Linked DNA regions of Cricetulus griseus. The protein of the gene in region 2 purifies or fractionates together with the protein of the main gene of each other region. This does not show direct contact. Links are inferred from orthologs where the notes say so. Each region holds a gene or a part of one and is shown on either strand. Other genes may lie near its edges.

Evidence for each region. Proteins that work in one complex are often made in the same cells at the same time.
Region 1: the proteins of Znhit2 (region 2) and Tssc4 purify together in Homo sapiens (affinity purification with mass spectrometry; 3 studies listed by BioGRID and IntAct, counting the BioPlex papers as one, with this or other methods). This does not show direct contact. The link is inferred for Cricetulus griseus from reciprocal best matches to the Homo sapiens genes ZNHIT2 and TSSC4.

Annotation. Positions count from the first base shown.
Region 1 is NC_048596.1:58,311,799-58,322,247, forward strand, and holds Tssc4 (protein TSSC4), read right to left. Parts: upstream 6,862-10,449; 5' UTR 6,717-6,861; exon of another isoform or gene 6,588-6,716; intron 6,435-6,587; 5' UTR 6,310-6,434; intron 6,221-6,309; 5' UTR 6,211-6,220; coding exon 5,257-6,210; 3' UTR 5,088-5,256; downstream 1-5,087. Other genes in the region: Trpm5 (transient receptor potential cation channel subfamily M member 5), read left to right, coding at 455-608, 1,551-1,732, 2,040-2,172, 2,955-3,027, 3,349-3,415, 3,724-3,812; CD81 antigen, read right to left, coding at 8,808-8,870, 8,951-9,037, 9,412-9,513, 9,828-9,932, 10,160-10,234. UniProt on the Homo sapiens protein: Protein associated with the U5 snRNP, during its maturation and its post-splicing recycling and which is required for spliceosomal tri-snRNP complex assembly in the nucleus.
Region 2 is NC_048596.1:53,286,604-53,296,692, reverse strand, and holds Znhit2 (zinc finger HIT domain-containing protein 2), read left to right. Parts: upstream 1-5,091; 5' UTR 5,092-5,327; coding exon 5,328-6,524; 3' UTR 6,525-6,568; downstream 6,569-10,089. Other genes in the region: Mrpl49 (39S ribosomal protein L49, mitochondrial), read right to left, coding at 654-804, 1,362-1,439; Fau (40S ribosomal protein S30), read left to right, coding at 1,960-2,034, 2,170-2,314, 3,049-3,104, 3,266-3,391; delta(14)-sterol reductase TM7SF2, read right to left, coding at 7,102-7,262, 7,415-7,537, 7,621-7,701, 7,907-8,075, 8,164-8,283, 9,617-9,993. UniProt on the Homo sapiens protein: May act as a bridging factor mediating the interaction between the R2TP/Prefoldin-like (R2TP/PFDL) complex and U5 small nuclear ribonucleoprotein (U5 snRNP).

The DNA.
Region 1 (10,449 bases), about 5.0 Mb from region 2:
TCAGCCTGTGCTGCCCCAACCATCAGTTGATGGTTTGTGCTAAGCTAGGAAGATGGGCTGATGGGCTGGTAGGCTCCCAACAGGGAGTGCTGAGTGGGAAAGGCTTGGGTGTTAAGCCTCTCTGGGGTAGGTGGAGGAATTACTTCATGCAATGATAGACAGAAATGGGTTCCATGACTCTACTATCCTAACTTTTGTTCCTCGCAAGGACTTGGCTTGCCTTCATAGACTGGGACCTTTCCTGGAATCCCAGCAGAGCGCTCAGATGATAAGCAGTCCACCTGTTAGTTTGGTGTAACTAGAGCTGGCTTCCACAATGGGACTTCTGGTGCTTTGTGGTTCACGTGGCCAGCCCAATGTGAACCAGGCCCCTGGTTGCCTAGCCAGACTTGCACACTGGTGGCCTCAGCTTGGAACCACACTCCCAGTCTGAAAATGTCTGCTTGCCTTGCAGAGGCCCGTGTGAACTGTTCGCTTCACCCTCTGCTTCTGGAAAATTCAGCTTCCTGCCCCAATCTCTATGCCAATTGGGTGGTCATTCTCCTGCTGGTCACCTTCCTGCTGGTCACTAATGTGCTACTTATGAACCTGCTGATTGCCATGTTCAGGTACCCTCCTGGCCACCTGCCCTTACTACATCCTTGCTCCCTTTTCTCAGTGGAGCTGGTTTCAGATGCTGGCAGATATAGGACCTGTGTCCTTAGTAGGAAAAAACCTAGTCCCTTTTGCTGCTGTGTCCAGTCAGCTGACCCTGCAGTAGAGAGCTAACACCCCAGATCTGGGCACACTATGAGCCCACCTCAGCTCAGTGACTGCTCTCTATCCTGCCAGGAAGGAGAGTAAATATACAGGGCCTCGGGCTCGGGGCTGTTTAAAAACCTGCAGTGAGTATGCCCCACTGCAGTACACCTGGAGTCTGTGACCGAGGGGTGCTAGGCCCTTGTCTTAATCTCCTTTCCATTGCTTCGATAAAACTGCCTGAAAGCAACTTAGGGGAAGACATGGTTTATTTCATCTTACACTCCCAAATCACAGTCCCATCACTGAGGGAAGTTGGGGCAGGATCTCAAAGCGGGAAGGAACCACAGAGGAATGTTTTAGGCTAGCTCACTCAGGTTCATGTTTAACTAGATTCCTTGTACAGCCCAAGCCCTCGTGCACAGAGAACCCACAATGGGTTGGGCCCTCCTACATCAATTAATGGTCAATATATTCCCCCATAGACATGCCCATGGGACAATATGATCTTGACAGTCCCTCAATTGTGGTTCTCTTCTCAGTTGACTCTTAGACTGTCAAGTTAATAGTTAAAGCTAACTATGTTAGCCTCCATCTCTGAATTGGGCTCCCAGGACAGGCCAGCTGCCCTCTGGATGCAATGGAGGATGGCATATATGGAGTGGGAGGTGAAGGGTTGAGATGAAGGGTAGGAAGGGGGATACAGGATGGGGTGGCATATGGGGTGGGAGGTGGTGCCAGGTTGAGGTAGGGTGCTTCTATGTGCAGGGAAAGCAGCTTATAAGGCAAGGGCTTGGCCATGTGTCCTGCAGTTACACATTCCAAGTGGTCCAGGGCAATGCTGACGTGTTCTGGAAGTTTCAGCGCTACCACCTCATTGTTGAATACCATGGGCGACCAGCCCTGGCCCCACCCTTCATCCTGCTCAGCCACCTGAGTCTGGTGCTCAAGAGGGTCTTCAGGAAGGAAGTCCAGCACAAGCGTCAACACCTGGGTGAGGCCACAGGCTGGATGCCACTGTTCCTCGGGGTCCTGCTTCCAGAGAAGACTCACAGAAGGGACTGGGTTTCTCATCTAGGCCCTGTCAAGGCTAACCAAAACCCCAGACCCATACTAGACAGCCACAGGACCATCCTGTCTCCTTGCAGCCCCAAATCCCTCCATGGGGTTTATTTTTGCCATCTGCCTTGTGCTCTGCATGGTGGCATCTTCCCTAGTCCCTTGCCACAGCCTGGGCCTGGGCTCTTCCCTAGGGGCCCACATAACTCTCCAAGGTTTGCTGCTGTCTCCTACCTTGCTAGAGAGAGACTTGCCTGACCCCTTGGACCAGAAGATCATTACCTGGGAAGCAGTTCAGAAGGAGAACTTCCTGAGTGCCATGGAGAAACGGAGGAGGGACAGCGAGGGGGAGGTGCTGAGGAAAACAGCACAGAGGTGGGGAAGCCCATGGGACCCCAGATGGCGGGGCATATGAATATGAGTCTCAGGCTAGCAGGTGCCATCATTTCTATCCATGGGCTGCTCAGAGATGTAGAAAGGGCCCTGTCTAGAGGCAGGTGGACTCAGATGCAGTGGGACTGAGTTGACCTTAGTCAGCTGGGTGTTATGAGGGGCAATAAGTCTGGGAGGGGCTCCCAAGTGCAAGCATGTGGAGGTGGGGAAACATCTAGCCTTTTCAGTAATGGGTGGGGTTTTCTGAACTGCCTTAAGGCTGGGTGAGACTCTTCAGTGCCAGTAATAGGACCTCTAAGCTAGGAAACAAGGCTGGGTCACAAGATCCAGCACTCCAGACTCTTGCTCTAGGGGGAGGACTGGGGGGGGGCATTGGGAGCATAAGCCATCTTTGGGAGCATAAGCATTAGGCATCTTTCTGCAATGGGACTCTCCCTTCATCCTCTCTCAAGTCTGAAGATCCACCCCCAGTTGATGCCGGGAGGTGGAGGGGCTGTTCCTGAACACTTGTGGGGATGACCTGCTGTTTCTTCTCTTGCTAGTGGTCTATTCCAAGCAGGGACAGGACCTCAGTCTCTGGGAGTGGGGGTGGTACAGAAGTGTTCTGTATCTGTAGACAGGCCCCAGATCAAGACTGGGAGGAGAGTAGGACAAGAAGAGGCAACAGAATTCTGAGACCCTGAGAAAGCATTTAGGGCAGACAGGCTCCCCCTTGTGGAATGCCATGGAGGAATCACATCTATGGCTGGCCCTACTTTCCACAGAGTGGATTTGATTGCCAAATACATCATGGGGCTGAGAGAGCAAGAAAAGAGGATCAAGTGTCTGGAATCACAGGCAAGCCAACAACCCACTCACTGTCTATTCTTCTTGAGGTGGGGCCATCCTTCTGCTTCTATGGGAACTACCACAGCCCTGTACTAGATTCCTGATGGGTGTGGGCAGGGGATGCCTGTCACTAGAGACACATTTTTCTTCTAGAACTGGTCCAACAAAACCTAGATTTACTAGCACATCCTGTCACCATTCCTTATCATGCACCATGGGGGAGCCTGGTCCACAGTGAGGAGTCCTGGGGCAGCATTAGACCTGGCAGGAGGGGAGTCACATGGGAGGGACTCTGTGCCAAAGTCCAGCATCTCCCTTGTCTCCTTCCAGGCCAACTATTGTATGCTCCTCCTCTCCTCCATGGCTGACACAGTGGCTCCAGGTGGCAACTACTCAAGTAAGTACTGTTCAGGCCATGGGAATGAGGTGGGCATGGGCTCCTTCCTTAGGCCACTGGATTAGACAAGAGCAAAGCTGTAGGCTGTGCATCAGTTCCTGCCTTCCCCACCTGTGCTGGAAGTCCTTGCTGTCCTTGGCAGGCCACCGTGCCTGAGGCATACAGGTGCCTAGGATCAGAGCCGTAATGTCCCAAGGCTCTGCCTACCACTGGTCCTGCTGGACAGAAGCCTTATCACTTTCCATGTCCTGTCCTGTCCCAGCTGGGGCTCCACAGCTGAGGGTCCTTTCTCCCTTCCTTGCTCCCAGGCTCTCAGAACTGTGGTCGCAGGAGTCAGCCAACATCTACTAGAGACAGGGAATACCCAGAGGCTGGCTTGCCACCCTCAGACACCTGACATGGAGGGGCCACCTGTCCTAGAGCCCCAGGCCTTGCCATCTTGGGCTTTTGCGACACATCAACCTTCCCCTACTCCCAGCGACCTCCAGAAATGGTCTTCTAGGGCGTTGCCACAGACCCCTTCTTGAACATCCCTTCCTGTGAAAATGAAACTGTTTCTTGGCACCTATCTGGGAGCTCCAGCGGTGTCTTTTCCAGTAGGGGAAGTTCTTTCAGTCCTTAGTGCTTTCATCGGCTTGGACTGGACACCAGGAACTAGTGAAGGACAAATCTGCCGAGGCAGAGCTACTCGGGTCTAGACCCTGTCTTACTGTTAGTTCCTAAGAAACTGACCTCTTAAACACTAGTGATTTCTTTCTGCCCTCAAGACAAACTCTTCATTATCTGACCAGCTTCTAGAGGACTGGTAATCATCGCCTCCCACCGCTCTGCCCCCACAGCTTATCTGTGTAACCACTGTGGCATTAACGCCAGATACTGTTCAAGGGTACCCTTTGTAGCAGGTTGCTACAAAGCCTGTAGACCACCTCAACTCAGCTACACTGGACCACAGGGATGGCTCAACATGCTTTTCAAACACCCAGGGAACATGGAGTTACCTGACCTATTGAATGGCATCTCTGTTGCTTCCACTGATCCTCAAATCATATGACCATTCAGGCTGATCCTTCCTTTTTCGAGGATACTCAAGCCCTGGAATAGGGACTACAGAGACTAGGGCAGACCTAGTACTTAGTGTACCAGGCTAGCTAACTTGGTTCAGGACCCTGGCCACGGCATGAAGTACTCACTCATGTGTCTTCCCTGCATCCTTCTCTTCCTCCTGGGCTAAGCTTCAGCTAAATGACCTAGCATCAGCCTATTAGCATCAGCAGTGTCCTACACAGAGGTCACAAATCCTGGAGACATACACCCAGGACACCAGCTCTATCTTTAGTTTGGGTGGACACCTGCCCAAACTCCTTCGCTGGCTCAAACTACCCTCTTCCTAAAACTGGTCTGCACAGGCCTAGTGTGGAGGCTGTGCTGGTTTCTGGGGGACAGATTATGTTCGTCCATTACCATCAGGGGTACAAGGCTGGACATGGTTATGAACCCAGTCCCTCTGGGTAGGTTCACTGGTAGCAAATGCAAGGGATCATGGCAAATCTTTACAGCAGTCCCCACTGGAGTGGGGAGAGCAAGATAAGCCAGGTGTAGGATGGAGTCCTGAAGTTAGTTGCCAAGGACTGTTTGGACACATCTTGAATAGGGAGCAGAAAAATCCACAAAATTTAAGAAATATCCCAAACCTTTATTTTTCACCCCAAGAAACGGGGGCATAAGGTCCCACAATTCCCACAGTCCTAGTCAGAGTTGCTTCCCAGACACCCCTTCTACAAATAGCCCACAGCTTCCCACCTGGACTGGGCAGGTGAGGAGGTGGAGAGATAGCACTGCAGTCAAACTGAGGGTCCCCTCTCAGACCCTGGCCCCTCCGGGTTACTGTCCCTGTTCCGGAAGTGTTCTCTGCTCCGCTTCTTGCTGCCATGGAAACCAACAGCCTCCATCCCTGTGGGATCTGATGAGGACCCAGGATGGTCAGCTCCTGAAGGTATCACTGCCTCTTGCAGTCCCTGGTGGCCACTCCACTCCTCAAGCTCAGGCCCTGCCAGATGGGCCAGCTCCACAGATGCCTCACTCACAGCATTTGACACATCCCCCTTCTTTAGGACCCTCTTCCTTTCAGCCCTAGTCTCACTGCCTCGAATTGGTTTGGTAAAGACCACTCTCCCCTCCCCACAGCTAGAGGGGTCCTGGTTGAAGGAAGGTACATAGTCTGTGGGGGATGCCAGGCTGCGAGAACCCAGAAAGGCCAGGGCAGCAGCACGATTGCTCTGCTCACTGACTTCAGTCGCATCTTCCAGGCTGTACTTGGTCCAACGCTCAGGATGTGACACATAATCGGGCACAGGAGGTACCCTGGTTGGGCCCGTACTCCCATGCACCCTGCTCAGGTTCCCTGCTGGAGTCTGACTTGGGGGAGCCACAGGTCGCTTGAAGTTGCCATTTTCAGTCACACTGGTTTGGGGCGCAGAGGGCGGTGCCTGCCGGACTGCACTCTCCAGACAATCAAAGATGCTGTGACTGCGCTGGGAGAAGGTGGAGCTCATGCCGCGGAGGTGGAACGGCTGAACTGCGGTGGTGGGGACGCCCGTGGGGGGCGAGGGAGGCTCATCAGGGCCGGAGTCTTCTTGGGCTTCCCCAGAAATCCTCTCCGGGGACAACACTTGCACCTCAGCACCACTAGGTAAGCTGAGGTCCGAGTCCGAGTCGCTGAGGGAGACGGTGTCAGAAGGCAGGGTGTCATCTTCGGTGGGTTCCTCGGCCTCCAAGCCAGTCTCCGCCTCCGCCATGGAACCCGACCTGTAGCGAAGCAGCCCAGGTTCTGCTGTGAGGGGTGTACTTGGGCAGCTCCCCCCCACCCCCGTTCTCCCAGGCTCCCCCACTTTCACCTCCACTATGTGCCAGGCGCCTCTGCTCGCAATCGGGCGCTGGCTGGTCACGCAGGCGGGCGGAGGCCTCGCGAAGCTGGGTGGCGAATAGTGTGTCCTCGCACGCACTGATGTGGAGCTGCAGTCTAGATAGGGTTAAGCAGAGAGTCAAACCATGAGATCAGAACAGTGCGGACATATAAAGGGTGCGCGCTAGGAGACGCTGGAGACAGAGGCTCTCGACCATCAGCTCGTCTCATCACCGGCTCTCACAGAGCGCAGCCTCTCCGGGTACACACCGCCACCGGAGGCACCACCCGGCTCCGGAGGGAGAGCTGGCAGGGGACTGGCCTGGTCGCACGGTCCTAAGGAGGCCAGCGCTCACCGCTCCACCGTCCCTTCACGCTACAACAGCCAGCTGCCTTTACCGTAGCGTCCCGCCGGTTTCTCGAGGTACGGGCCGTGGCCCCCGCCTACTCTCGCTCGGCTTTCTGGGAAACCGAGTCTCCGGCTGTCTGAATGCTGCAACTTTAGCGGCCAAGGAACTACAACTCCCAGAAGGCAATGGGCCAATGCGTAATGCCTGCCGGGAGGTGTAACCTTTACGTATACGTCATCCCGTAAGACTGGAGCGGACACGGAAATCTACCCGGAAATGACGAAAGAGGAAGAGGCGGAGCCAAGAGCCTCGATTCCCATTGTACATAGGGCCAACTGCTAATCGCAAAGGGTTGAGGCCTCCAGCGCCGCCTGTCGGAAGCCGTCTGAGCAGGGTTCGTCACTGGAAGGAAGTGCGTCACCACGCAGTGCGGGCGTCAACAAGTTTCCTGGTCAGAAGTGGTGCTGATCTGATCTTGTACTCGGTTGGCTTCCTAAAGGGGGCGGGGACTTAAGTCCTAGTTGGCTCTTGGCATCTAGAGACGTGGTGGGCTCTGGATGTTGGATAAGTTGTTTGGGGCTGCAGAGATTCGAGGCCTCTCCTCTAGGCTCTGCCTAGCCGTGCTTGGACACCGACCCCACTATTTAAGGCCACACACAACTCCCCTCTAGGCCCGGGGCTGTCCTCTTTCATCTCTGGGAACCAGAGTCTGAGAATCCACTGGGCTGCTGCACGCTCACTTCCTTCCCTATGTTCTTGAAGCCCTGATAGCCATGCTGCAGTTTTCTCAACAGCCTTGGCCAGGGGCCCACAACATAAGAGTATAAAGTCCTTCAGACCAGCAGCCAACCCAAGCAGGGAACAGGTTGCAAGGGGCGGGAGGGGGGCGGCGGACGGACGATAGTAGAGATTAGGACGCCCTAGGACAAACTTGGGGTTCACTGACAAATCAGCTTACAGGGAGGTTGCTAGGAGCTGAGACCTAAATCTTAGCCACGCTTTCTCTCCTCTAGAGGCCAATTAAATATGCCAGTAGCCTGGGGGAGGGGTGCAGACAGGAGTCAAAGGGAAAGGCAGTAGTGGTGATAGTTGCTGGTGTCCCAAGAGGTTGCTTAGCCTAATCCTCAGTTCATAGGGCTGAGCTGAGTGGGCTGCCATCTTGACTATTATCCCTTGAGACAGGCCAGAGCCACCCAGCTCTTTAGAACATTTCTAAGCACCTAGATACTTGGGATGGGGCAGTAGTCTAACTTTTACTGTATTGTCTTTCAAAAGTGGGATGAAGTGGGAGTTTTTTGTAGCTTATCCCCAGCATTCTGTGTCGAATTTTCCTGCTGCGTGACCTCTCCTACCCGTCTCAGTGTGACTTGGCATGTCCAACAGATGAGTGGAAATGAGGTCAAGGCTGGAATAAGGTCAGCCTGAACTCCCAGTACAGGGAGGTAGAAACGAGGGAGTACTCAGATGGAGTGCTCCCAGGGTCCCTATCCTTCCCACCCATTTTATTCCACAGCCTCTCTTGGACCTGCTCACCCTGTGCCTGGCAAAGTCCAGAGCGGTACCCGTCTCTGACACCACTGGAACAGGAAGAGGTCTGACAGTCCGGTTAGCATGCCTGATTTTCTCCTCCTTTATTAAATGACTGTTTCAGATGTAATTACAGTTGAAGGTGACACGTTAGAAAGAACAGGTGCATTGAAGGCATAAGAGTGCTTACAAACCCAGCTCTTGAAATGGGGACAGGAAAGGGACAAGGATTAAAAAGATGTGATCGATGTGACCCACAGTGGGCAGGGTGAGTGACCATGGCTCTCTAGCTCAGCTACATAGCCTCTGGGCAAGCAGCTGTGGAGGAGGTTTGGCTCAGCAGGCAGGGGTTCCAGAAGTACAGGGCCCTGCAAGCCAGGGCCAGCTCCACCCCTATATCCCCACACTCACCACTGCCACCTATGTGTGATGTCAGCCCCCAAAAGATACCGGGCAAGTTCAAAACAACAACAACAAAAAAACCCTCAAAGTAAAAAGGCTAAGTGTAGCAGAGTAATACAGAAATATATACACAGGCCATGGCCCCCGAGGTGGCCTCTGGTCACTCAGGGGCATGGCACTGCAGGGTCCCTGTAGTACAAAGTGCAGGACCTCAGTACACGGAGCTGTTCCGGATGCCACAGCACAGCACCATGCTCAGAATCATCTCGAAGATCTGCGGGAGGGAGGGGCATTGTCAGCACCTAGGACCTTGGGAGGGGTGGTACCCACCCACCAAAGAGGCCCTGTGCTTACCATGATGACAGCTACCACGATGGCCGCAATACCAATGAGGTACAGCTTCCCAGAAAAGAGCTCATCGATTTTCTGATGGCAATCCTCCTGCAGGGATGGCCAGAGGGTGGTAACAGTCAGTGGCTAAGTCACAGCCACTACCCTACTCAGTGGTGGGGCTTGTCCTGCAGTTTATCTTCCATCCAAAAAATAAACTTAAAACACATGGACCTGCTCTCTTTCTTTATCACAGGATAGTGTTTCTGACCTCACTAGTACCCTAGGGCTTCCAGTATGTGTAAGGGACCACTGGACAGCAGTTTCCCAGGATATTGCAGAGGCTAACGCAGGCTGTCAGGACCCAGCACCCCACTACCTGAGATGTTCTGTGAGCCTTTCTGAGGTCCTGCTGATCTTCCTGGTGGGCCATGTTTACTCTACCTACCACCCAGGATATGATGTCCACCCCCACTCCATGTCACCTTCATCAAGGAGTTGAATATGTTGGTGCCTGAGGGACACAGGCTGTTCTTCAGCACAGAGGTGGTCAGTGCGGTCAGTGCGTTGGAGCCACAGCAGTTGAGCTGCAGAGACCAAAAGCATCACTGTCACCTTAGGAGCCTCAGGAGACAAGGGCAAGGTCAGCACACCATCACCCCCATATACCTGGGAGCTGGCCTTCTACCCTGTTTGTCACACTGCTCAAGAGCCCTGTTCCTCCAAACCCCTGGGCAAATGAGGCCCATTAGGTTCCTGCCTGGGGATCTACAAATCACACAGACCTTTAGCCAGGACCTGTCATGTTGCTGATGTCTGGAAATAGGCAGGACTCATCCCCCAAAGATCACACACACTAGGACTCCCACAACCTGCCCTCCCTGCTCCAGCCTAGCTGTACCGTCTCATGGAAGGTCTTCACCACAGCCTTGGCATTATTGGCATCGTCATCCACCACAGCCTGTTGAAGGGCTTGATCATAGAACTGCTTCACATCCTTGGCGATCTGGGGGAGAATCATAGTCACTTGCAGCATAGGGACTACCATCAAGAGCACTCAGCTTCCCCTGCTGTGCTCAACCTGACACCATCTCTTCTGTTCAGCTCCCAAGACCCTTCTACCAGCAGGCACCAGAAACCCAAAAGGCACCCTGTAACCCATGGGCTCAGAGCGGTTCACTCCTGTTGCCCAGGCAAGGGGCCTATCTCCCTCCCCAGTGAACCTAGGCTCACCTGGTCTTTGTTTACGAAGCCCCAGATGCCAGCAGCCACCTCACAGGCAAACAGGATCACAAGGCAGGTGAAGAACTAGAAGAAAGACGAGAACAGAGCCTTGACCAGCAAGCCCAAGCCCAGCCCTCTATAGGTGCCCACATGACCAACAACTATGTGCCAAGGGAGTTGACCACATCCATCAACCATGTCCTGATTAAGAATGAGCCACACAGAACCATGAAAGATGGGGTCTGATGCAGCTTGGCACCGAGATGTTCAAGTTCTTTGTAGGGAGACACTGTAGCGCG
Region 2 (10,089 bases):
TTCTCTGTGTAGCGTTGGTGCCTGTCCTGGAACTAGCTCTTGTAGACCAAGCTGTTCTCGAACTCAGAGATCCTCCTGTCTCTGCTTCCCAAAGTGCTGGGACTAAATGCGTGTGCCACCACTGCCCAGTTGAAGTTGATAATTTATGTAACAGAGATGGGAGTTAAAGGGATCCTTTTGGTTTGGTTGTTTGGTTTGCTGTTTTTAAACTAGCTCCAGCTGGCCCAAACCTAGTCATAATCACACACTGTACTCTGTATTAAAGGTTTTATATGCTGAGCAAATTGTACTCATTTTGCTGAACTTGAAATTAGAAGAAGCTAAATGACTAATAAAGTCACACCTAGGGCAGAGCCAAATACAAACCAGGACTGCCTTTCTACTAAGCTGCATTCTCTATTATACATAGTAAGTTGGCCTGGGAGAAAAGAAATCCAAACACACGGGTCTTATTTCTCTATGCTTTCTCACCACAAGGGAAGACTTCATCCCAGTAAAACAGGGTTCTACTCTTAGGCCCTTCCCTGGGGATCAGACAATACTAATTCTATATCTCAACAGCACTCCTAAATCCAATGCAAAGTCCAAAGCCTCAGCTAGGGCAAAGGGCCTACTCTCTACAGCCTTTAAACTAGCCCCATCACTCAGCTCACCTCTGGGAGGCTGCCAGCCACTGGGAGTGGGATAATGTTCATGCTTTGGTGGCTGTGGGATTTTGGTAGGGGGAAACAGGCGCTCCACAAATTGGTATTCATCCTCAGACTCCAGAAAGCTGGGGTTTTCATGAGACCCCTGGGTTTGGCTCTAAGGCAAAACAAACCATTTTTCCATTAGTTCACACAACACGGAAGGGCTTTAATAGGTAAAGAATCATGCAGAAAGAATAGACCTGAGCTGGGAAAGAACCAGACTTTTTTCCAGTGTGCAAAAGTATGGGGGGTGGGGGGAACTGGCTGGAAAAACAACTCAGTCTGAATCCCCAGGATTTCTCCAGGATTCAAATGACAAACGTGCATATTCCCCAAAATCCAATTAATCATAAGACGAATCAACATAGTATTCTTCAGTAATTTTTTCTGAACCTGGTGTTGAAACTCTTTAGCTGCGAATATGATGCTTAAACCGATCAGGCACCAAGTGGGAACGTGCAGCTGCTCTCGGTCGGTCCTAACCAACTCGAGCTACGCGGTAGTCACATTCCAAAACCCAGATTGCCTAGGCTCTGCCACCCTGCCCTCTCCAGCCTGCATCTACCCTCAAGTGTCAACCCGAGTATACAGGAAAACCAAGGCCTCGGGAGAGAACGCGGAGCGACAGTGAGGCTCACACACAGCCTTTTGCCCTGTGCTCCGAACTCTCACCAGCTGCCGCGGCCCGTAGCTCCATCGGACGCAGCGCCCCGCGTCCCGCACAGCTGCTCGCAACGCCGCGACCGCCATCTTGGATTGACCCAACTGTGATTGCCATTTGCGCGCGCAACCGGTTCGGCCCCGCCCCCCCTCCTGCGGGCCCCGCCCACAGGGAAAGAACGCCTGCGTAAAGCGTAAGGGGAAAAGACTAGGACGGCGGTGGGCGGTACAAATACTAGCAATCTACGCTGTCGCGCAGCAGTGACGTGACACGCGGCATGCGGTGAGGACGTGCGCGCCCTCGCTTCTTCCTCTTTCTTGACTCCATCTTCGCGGTAGCAGCTTCGGCGTCCGCGGTTTAGGTGAGACTGGGGGACGGCTAAACTTGTAGCGCTCGGTAGCAGGCCGACTGCGGGCTGAGAGGGTGCGGGAAGTCAAGGGACAGGGCTGTTGTGCGGCCTGGTCTCCCAGCCTCATCCAGGTCCCTGGCGAGCTCGGCCTTCCGCATGTGAGGAGCGCAATCTCCCGTCCCCTACCCATCCCCTGATCTCCTTTCTTCTGGGACGCTTCTTCCTTCTCTCAAAGGCCTGTCTTTTTTTCAGTCGCCAACATGCAGCTCTTTGTGCGCGCCCAGGGACTACACACACTCGAGGTGACCGGCCAAGAGACGGTCGCTCAGATCAAAGTAAGTGTATAATGTTCTTTTATCCCCAGACCCGCAGGTAAAACTCCTTTCTCCCCAGTGTGTGCTCCTTTATCCCCAGACCCGCAGGTAAAATTTTCCTTACAAATTATTGGGCTTTTAATTTTTTGTCTGTAGGCTCATGTGGCCTCACTGGAAGGCATTTCCCCGGAAGATCAAGTCGTGCTTTTGGCTGGCTCGCCGCTGGAGGATGAGGCCACCCTAGGCCAGTGTGGCGTAGAGGCCCTGACTACTCTGGAAGTAGCTGGTCGCATGTTGGGAGGTGACTGCTTTTTTACTGTGAACTAATGGAATGTGTGTAGTTATAGAATGTGTCAGCTCATTTCTGTGGCAATACACCTGTGCCTTCTAGAGTGGTACTGAGTTTAACCAGACTGCTTCTCGGGGTCCCCACTAAAATCAAGATCCAAAGTCGTGTAATGGCAGTGTATACCTTTAATCCTAGCAACATGGAAGACAGGCAGGCAGGTCTCTTTAAGGCTAGCCTGGTGTACAAAGCAACTTCCAGGACAGCCAGGGCTACACAGAGAAACGCTGTCAGGAGACAAAAGAGCAATAACAATCAAAATCTGGCTTCCTGTCTTTGTTTTGTATGTAAAATGTTAGCTAAGGATAGTTCTTGCCTTAGTAGTATATACATCAACCCTCAGCACTGAACAGACTGGCCACAGTGACATTGTGGTGGAAACCAACCTGGGATAGCTATTCTGTGGCCTCCATCTCTAATCTGTGCAACTTGGTTTCATTCCTTGTTGGACCCAAACTTGTCTTTGTCCCGTCCCCCCCCCCCCCCCCCCCGTCCCCCCGTTCCCCCGTCCCCCAGGGTTTCCTCTAGCTTTTGGAGGCTGTCCTGGAACTAGCTCTTGTAGATCAGCCTGGTCTCGAACTCACAGATCCACCTGCTTCTGTCTCCCTAGTGCTGGGATTAAAGGTGTGTGCCACCAACGCCCAACTAGGGCGTTGCTTCTGATCTGCCTTTCTTCCTTCCCCACACAGGTAAAGTTCATGGTTCCCTAGCTCGTGCTGGAAAAGTGAGAGGTCAAACTCCCAAGGTGAGTGAGTGCCAGAATTGTTATTTGCACTATTGCAGCAAAATCAAAGACCTTTGGTTTTCCTGTTTGTATTCTCTTTCCTGGAGAGGAATTGGTGGGAAGGATGCCAGGCATGGGAGAGGTGAACCAGGGTCTTACCAGTCAGTCCTTCCCTTTCCCAGGTGGCCAAACAAGAGAAAAAAAAGAAGAAGACAGGTCGGGCCAAGCGGCGGATGCAGTATAACCGTCGCTTTGTTAACGTGGTGCCAACCTTTGGCAAGAAGAAGGGCCCTAATGCTAATTCCTAAGTCCTTCTGTGATTCTTGCACTCTAATAAAGCCACTTTGCCCAGATGTGTTACTGCTTTCATCATTTGTGAGGCCTTAAGAAGAAATAGAACTTTTAGGCTAGTAAAGTGTCTCTTGGCCATTGGGAGTGATAAATGAGAATCTCACCACAGCGGGCAGAAGTGGTGCACACCTTTTAGGCCTAGCACTTGGGAGGCCTGAGTAGATGTAGCAGGTGATCTGAGTTCAAGGCCACCCTGGTCTACATAGAGACCCTATTTCAACCAACCAAACAGGTTCAGTGTTAGGCTGTTTTGGAGAGGCAATGATTAAAGGGAGGGGAGGCCTTGGTTAGAAGGTGAATCGGTTTTTACTGAATTTGGGACCAGCTGTACTATCAATAAAAGTTCAAAACACGGGCTGGAGAGATGGCTCAGAGGTTAAGAGCACTGACTGCTCTTCCAGAGGTCATGAGTTCAATTCCCAGCAACCACATGGTGGCTCACAACCAAACCTTATGAGATTTGGTGCCCTCTTTTGGTGTGCAGATATACATGGAAGCAGAATGTTTTATACATAATAAATAAAATCTTAAAAAAAAAAAGTTCAAAACACAAGGAGCATCGGGTCCCTCGGCATTGGAATTGTCTGATTGCACTGGCATCCTGATCTTGTCTGGCTGAACTTGATCACAACTGTGACTGAGAAGCTGATTAAATGGTTCCACCCTTAGCACCAGGCTTCCACTACACCCAGATCCCATTGCATCTTGGAATGCACCAAGGAGTAAGGCCAAAGAATAGTTGGACACTCCATTCCATTTAAGCTTTGTGAGAGATACTGGTCAAACTGTAAAATGCGCTGCAACCAGTGTCTAACCCATTGTAGACTCTGAATAGTGACTGTCTCAGACTCATTGTTTAGCCATTAGCTTTTTACTATAGTGGGTGTGGGTATTCCCACATTCTTGTTAGGACAGCATTCAGGAGTGTACCAGGGATTTGGAGGCAAATGGTTTTTATTAAGCCCAGGCTAGTTTTGGACTCTTAATATTCCTTTCCCAGCCTCCCAAATGTTACTAGACTACCACATGCTGTGTAGACTACCACACTTGGCCTGAGCAGTGCTTAAGGGTCAAATTCCCAACTCAGGTTCTTTGTAGAGGAAAAGTATGAAACTATGTAGTTTGCGATCCATGCATAGTGGCACATACCATTAATCCCAGTTCTGAGAGGAAGAGGCTAGCCTAGCCTGGTTTACAGCGCTAGTTCTAGGAAAGCCAAGGCTACACAAACCTCTGGTGGCAGTCAGGGGTTGGGTGGGGATGGGTGGCACAAAACAAATACTAGGAATTGAATTTCAATCCAACTTGGAGGTTGGGCTGCCCCAGTTTGTTATATTGATATGTTAAGTATCTTCGGGGCTTCTCTGTGGCTTCGGAGGCTGTCCTGGAACCTGCTCTTCAGATTCTTTGTCATGCCTGGTTTATGATTTGGTTCTTGTAGGGTTTTTATTATTTTGGGGGTATTTTCAAGACAGGGTCTTACTGTAGCTCTGACTATTCTGGAACTCACTGGGTAGACCTGAAACTCAGAAATCGCCCTGCCTCTGGGGACCTGGTGCGGGGATTAAATTAAAGGCGTGTGTCGCTACACCCCTAAGATTCTGGATTTTTTTTGTTGGTTGGTTTTGCTTAAAAGGTAGTTTATTTTTGCACAATTTGGTAAAACCACAGGGAACAAGCTGGGATCAGCGACATTAATCTTCTAACTCTCGAGAGCCACCGTGTTGGTTAGACCTTGGGCGTGTTCTGCGCATGCTCAAAAGGCTACTCTAGAGACGGAAGTTACCGAGAAGGTACGTCGCCCCACGCACAAAGGCGGAAATAACCGAAGAAGCACCGGAAGTGGCGGAGCTACGTCTGCTGTGTGGTGCCCGACACGCGGCGCCAGTTGCCATGGAGCCCGTAGGGCTCTGCGGCTTCTGCCCAGGCGGGGAAGCTTTGCCGGCGCGCTACACCTGCCCGCGCTGCAACGCGCCCTACTGCTCGCTGCGCTGCTACCGGGCGCATGGCTCCTGCGCCGAAGACTTCTACCGCGACCAGGTGCTGCGAGAGCTCCGCGGCCGGAGTGCCTCTCCCAGCCGTCTGGCGGGAGCACTACGCCGGCTACGCGAACAACGGGAGACCGAGGATGAGCCCGAGGAAATAGGCCTCAGGCCCGGCCCGCGGCCGAACGGCCTTTCTGGACTCTGGGAAAGCTTGTCACCGGCTGAGAAGGCGGCGTTCGAGCGGCTGCTGAGCCGTGGCGATGCTGGACGCCTTCTGCCCCCGTGGAGACCCTGGTGGTGGGGCCGCGGGGGTGGCCCGCGATTTATGGAGGAGTTGGATCGTGCCCCGGGCAGGGATCTTTCGGAGCCGGAGACCGCCCCAGAGAGCACCGCGCCCGAATCTGTGGATGATGCCGCCGCGGTGCCTCTTGCTGAAGACTCAAATGCCGCCGTGCCGCCCGCAGTGCCCTCCCGTATCCCAGCGCTGGCCAGCCTGAGCCGCTGCCCGCCCTCGCCACTCGTGCGATTCCAGCTGCCCAATGTGCTGTTCGCCTACGCTCACACTCTCGCCCTGTATCATGGAGGGGACGACGACGCTCTACTCTCTGATTTCTGTGCCACACTGCTCGATGTTTCTGGAGCCCTGGGCGCCCAGCAAGTCTTTGACTCTACGGAGGAAGCCCTGCAGGCCGCAGCCCACGTGCTGGAAGCGGGTGAACACCCACCTGGGCCCTTGGGTACGCGGGGTGCTATGCAAGAGGTTGCTCGTATTCTGCTGGGCGAGGGTCCTATCAACCAGAAAGGCTACACGCTGACAGCACTGGGGCACCTGGCCCAAACCCTGGGCCGAGCCCGGAAACAGGCTGTGGTTAGCGAAGAACGAAATCGCCTTTACCGGGCTCGGAAGAAGTGCCAGTTCCTCCTAGCCTGGACCAACGAAAATGAGGTTGCTCTCACACCACTGGCTCTAGACTGTGCCAGGGTCCACCGAGCCCATGCTGTCACAGCCGAGGAGATGGCAACCCTTACTGGGGAGCTGGAGCGGCTTTGGGGAGGCCCGGTACCACCTGCTCCAAGGACTCTCATTGAGGAGCTCCCTGGCTGAGCTGGGTGTGTGGTATTAATAAAGCTGTCACTGGTCTGTCCAAATGTTGGCAGTACCTTTATTTTCTTCAAAGACAGTACCCTATCCTAGACTTTCCTTGAAGTCACTGTGTAGCTGATGACCTTGAACTTCTGAGCCGAGCCTGCCTCTACCTTGACAGTGCTGGGATTACAAGTGTTAAGTCACCTTGCTAATTTATGCAGTGCTGAAGGTCAAAGGCTTCTTGAATGCTAAGCAAGCATTCTATATAACAACTACATCCCCCAGGCCTGAAGTGCCCATTTCTGAGAGAAACCAGTTGTTCCACGAAGCTACCCTGGACACACAAACCACTTCCCTAGTACAGCTTCCCTAGTCAGCTAGTTCTCTACCTCTCTCCCCCAAATCACTGACCCCAGAATAGAAGAAAAACAAGATTGAAAACATTTATCCAGCAGGGAAAAGTATTTTCATATGGGAGCAGTGGTTCCCTCTTCTTGCGTCAGACTCTGAGGCTGGTCATCCCTGCCAAGTAGAATGGGGTGCAGGCCCTTCACCCCACATGTGTTCAGGCCTGAGCTTGTTAGATGGCTCTGCCTCAGTAGACATAGGGTATGATTCGATAAGGCACACGTTTGCAGTATTCCTGCCAGGCACGGCCATACTTGCGAAGGCACTGCTGCTCATCTCGGGCCTCCCGGTGTACCAGCAATGCAGTGAAGTAAAGGAGGTAGAAGTAGGGCAGCAGGTGAGACACCCCTGTAGGGAAGGGGTTGCATGATGAGACACCAGCACCCGGTGTATAATGGCTTTCTCAGCTAATGACACACAGGGTGACAGGGTTCATCAGTGATACACGGGGTCCATCTCCAGTCACACCAGACTGAGCCTCCCTTCCCAGACCTACTCACCACAGGGCAAGGACCAGGCCAGAGCCATGATGAGGTCTCCCAAGTAGTTGGGGTGACGAACCATACCCCACCACCCAGATACCAGCAGCTGCCGTCCTGTGGCAGTAGGGATGGTTTCAAGACCTGGAGAAAGGTAGCTAATGAACCAGGGAGCCTCAAAGCCTGACCCTTCATCTCACCCATAGTCTCCAGGAGACCCAGCTCACCAGCCACACTGGGGTCAGAAGGATTCTTCCGGAATGTGTTTTTCTGGGAGTTAGCACCACGGAAGATGTAGTAACCAATAACTGAGAGAAAGTATGATCAGGTAGTGAGATGAAGTCCAAGCCTTCTTCCTCGCCCTGACAACAAGCCTGTCCAAATCCCAGGCTCTGTTATGACACCCAGGGGGCCAGCTCCCAGCTTTAGAGGAGCATCAGAGCCTGGGATCTACCTAATGGGCAGTGAATGAAGTATGAAAGAGGGAGGGGAAATGAAGGCCCTCCTACTGACCCTTAATAAGGCAGATGAGCAAGGCCATGGGCAACCCCAGAGGCTGTGGATGGTATAGCAGGAACTGGGCCTGCAAGCTGTAGGTGAAGGGTACCCAGGCTAGGTCTCCAAAGGCCAGCATGAAACCAAATCCATCATGTATTATGTCCATGGTGGTGAGGACAGACTCCTGCAGGGACAGGACCCAGACACACTGGCTTAGTCCAGATGACATCTTCAGGATCCCTTTCTCACCTCCCCTTCCAATCCAGCCTCACCTCATACCAGAGGGCATCACCCACATACAGCAACTGGAAGGCATTGACCAGCCACATGGCCAGTGAAGGACTCCCCCGTAGCTCTGCCTCCTGTATCAGCAGGGCCAGGTTAATAAAAACCTGAGGGAAGTGGGGACAGGGCCATTGTCTCTGAGTGGGAGCATCAGAGTGGAAAAGTGTCAACCTCTCCCCTCCCTCAACTGTCAGTTCACATGTTGAATGAATCTAGGTCGAAGCTGCCTATACTTAAAACTCCTGCTTTTGAATCTGAGCTTTGCCACTTGGGCAGAGTATATATCCTTGCTGAAGCTCACTTTCCCACTGCCATGTGGAAAATGGGGATAAGAGCCCTGTCTTGCTGTTTAAAGAAAAATATAATGCTTGCAGAGCTGAGGATTAGCTTGTCGTGAACCTGTACTTTGTACCCTTGTTTTAGTAGTTCCAGTGGACTAGGTAGCTTCTTCAGTAATACTGACATAGTACTTTCATTAAGGGTACCTCTAATTAAAAAAAAAAAAAAGTCTCACTAAGTAGCCTTGATTGGACTGAAAATGTGTACAACCAGGCTAACCTAAAGTCATAAAAATCTACCTGCCTCTGCCTCCTAAGTGCTGGAATTGAAGGAGTGTGCCACCACACCCAGCCCTCACAGTAATTGTAGAAGAAAACTTCATCCCATCCTGTTTCTTCAGTGAGAAAATAACCTTAGAGTCTGGTATGTGTGTAGGCAGGCCAATCTCCAGATCCTTGGAGGGACCAGGCCAGGTGGGGTTACAATAACTAATCCTAGTTACTTAAGTAGGTGAAGAAAGTGGAGGAGACATTGATAGCCAGGGCTATCCTAGTGAGACCTGTTTCAAATCCAAACCAAACCCAAACTCAGATTCATAGAGGTTACTTGGCACTCCTGCCTCTGGGTAAGATCTCCAAGATGAAAGCAGGGCCTTGCCTGAATCTCTTTGGAACTCTTCACCACCGTCCATGTCTGTGTGATCTTAGCCCAAGAACAGCTGCTGTGTTGTTAGGGCCACCAATGACAAACAATCCACTGGAGGCACAGAGCTGCCTTGCCCTTCAAGCAGCTTGGTCATTGTCTTTGAAGTCAGTTTTGTACTTGAGCACTGCATCCAAATCTTCACTTTATTGCTATGTATGCCATATATATTTAGTTTTGTGGTGCTAGGGTTGGAATTGAGGGTGTGTGTGTGTGTGTGTGTGTGTGTGTGTGTGTGTGTGTGTGTGTGAGCCAAATGCTCTCTACCTTTTTTTTTTTTTTTAAAGATTTGTTATTAAGACCCCTCTTGATCTTAATACTAAAGCAAAACCATGACTTCATGCCAAAACAACATATTGGCAAATGAATGATGATTGCTGTCCACCCAGCCATGCTAGCCCACCCTGTCCTTCTCCTGGCCCAAGACCAACATAGTTAAACCCAGCATGCCCAGCATACCCAGCCGATGAGGCCAGGCCTCAGCTCACAGAAATATTTGAAGTCAAAGGAACCAAGGCGAGGGTTTAGCTCCCGTCCCAGAAAGAAATCATAAATGCAATTTCCTGGGGGAATAACAGAGAGTGAAGGCACAGTTAGGCATCCCATATGCCTCACCCCTACCTCATTGGGACCCTTCTCACCTGAGTTTCCTCCAGGTGCCAGGGCTGAGACAGGAGCTGCCAAAGCCTTCATATAGAGAAGGAGGCTGAAGATGAAGCTGGTGAGAGTGGTCGCAAAGGCCAAGGGCAGGAGCATTTCAGGGAGTGCCCCCAGGGGCAGCCCAGCTGACACCCCTAGCCCCACCAACAGGGCTGTTAGGACCAGAGCCTGGAAGCCTGAACCACAGCAGAGTGAGTTTTAGAATTGAATACATCCACAACTAACACACACACACACACACACACACACACACACACACACACACAACTAAC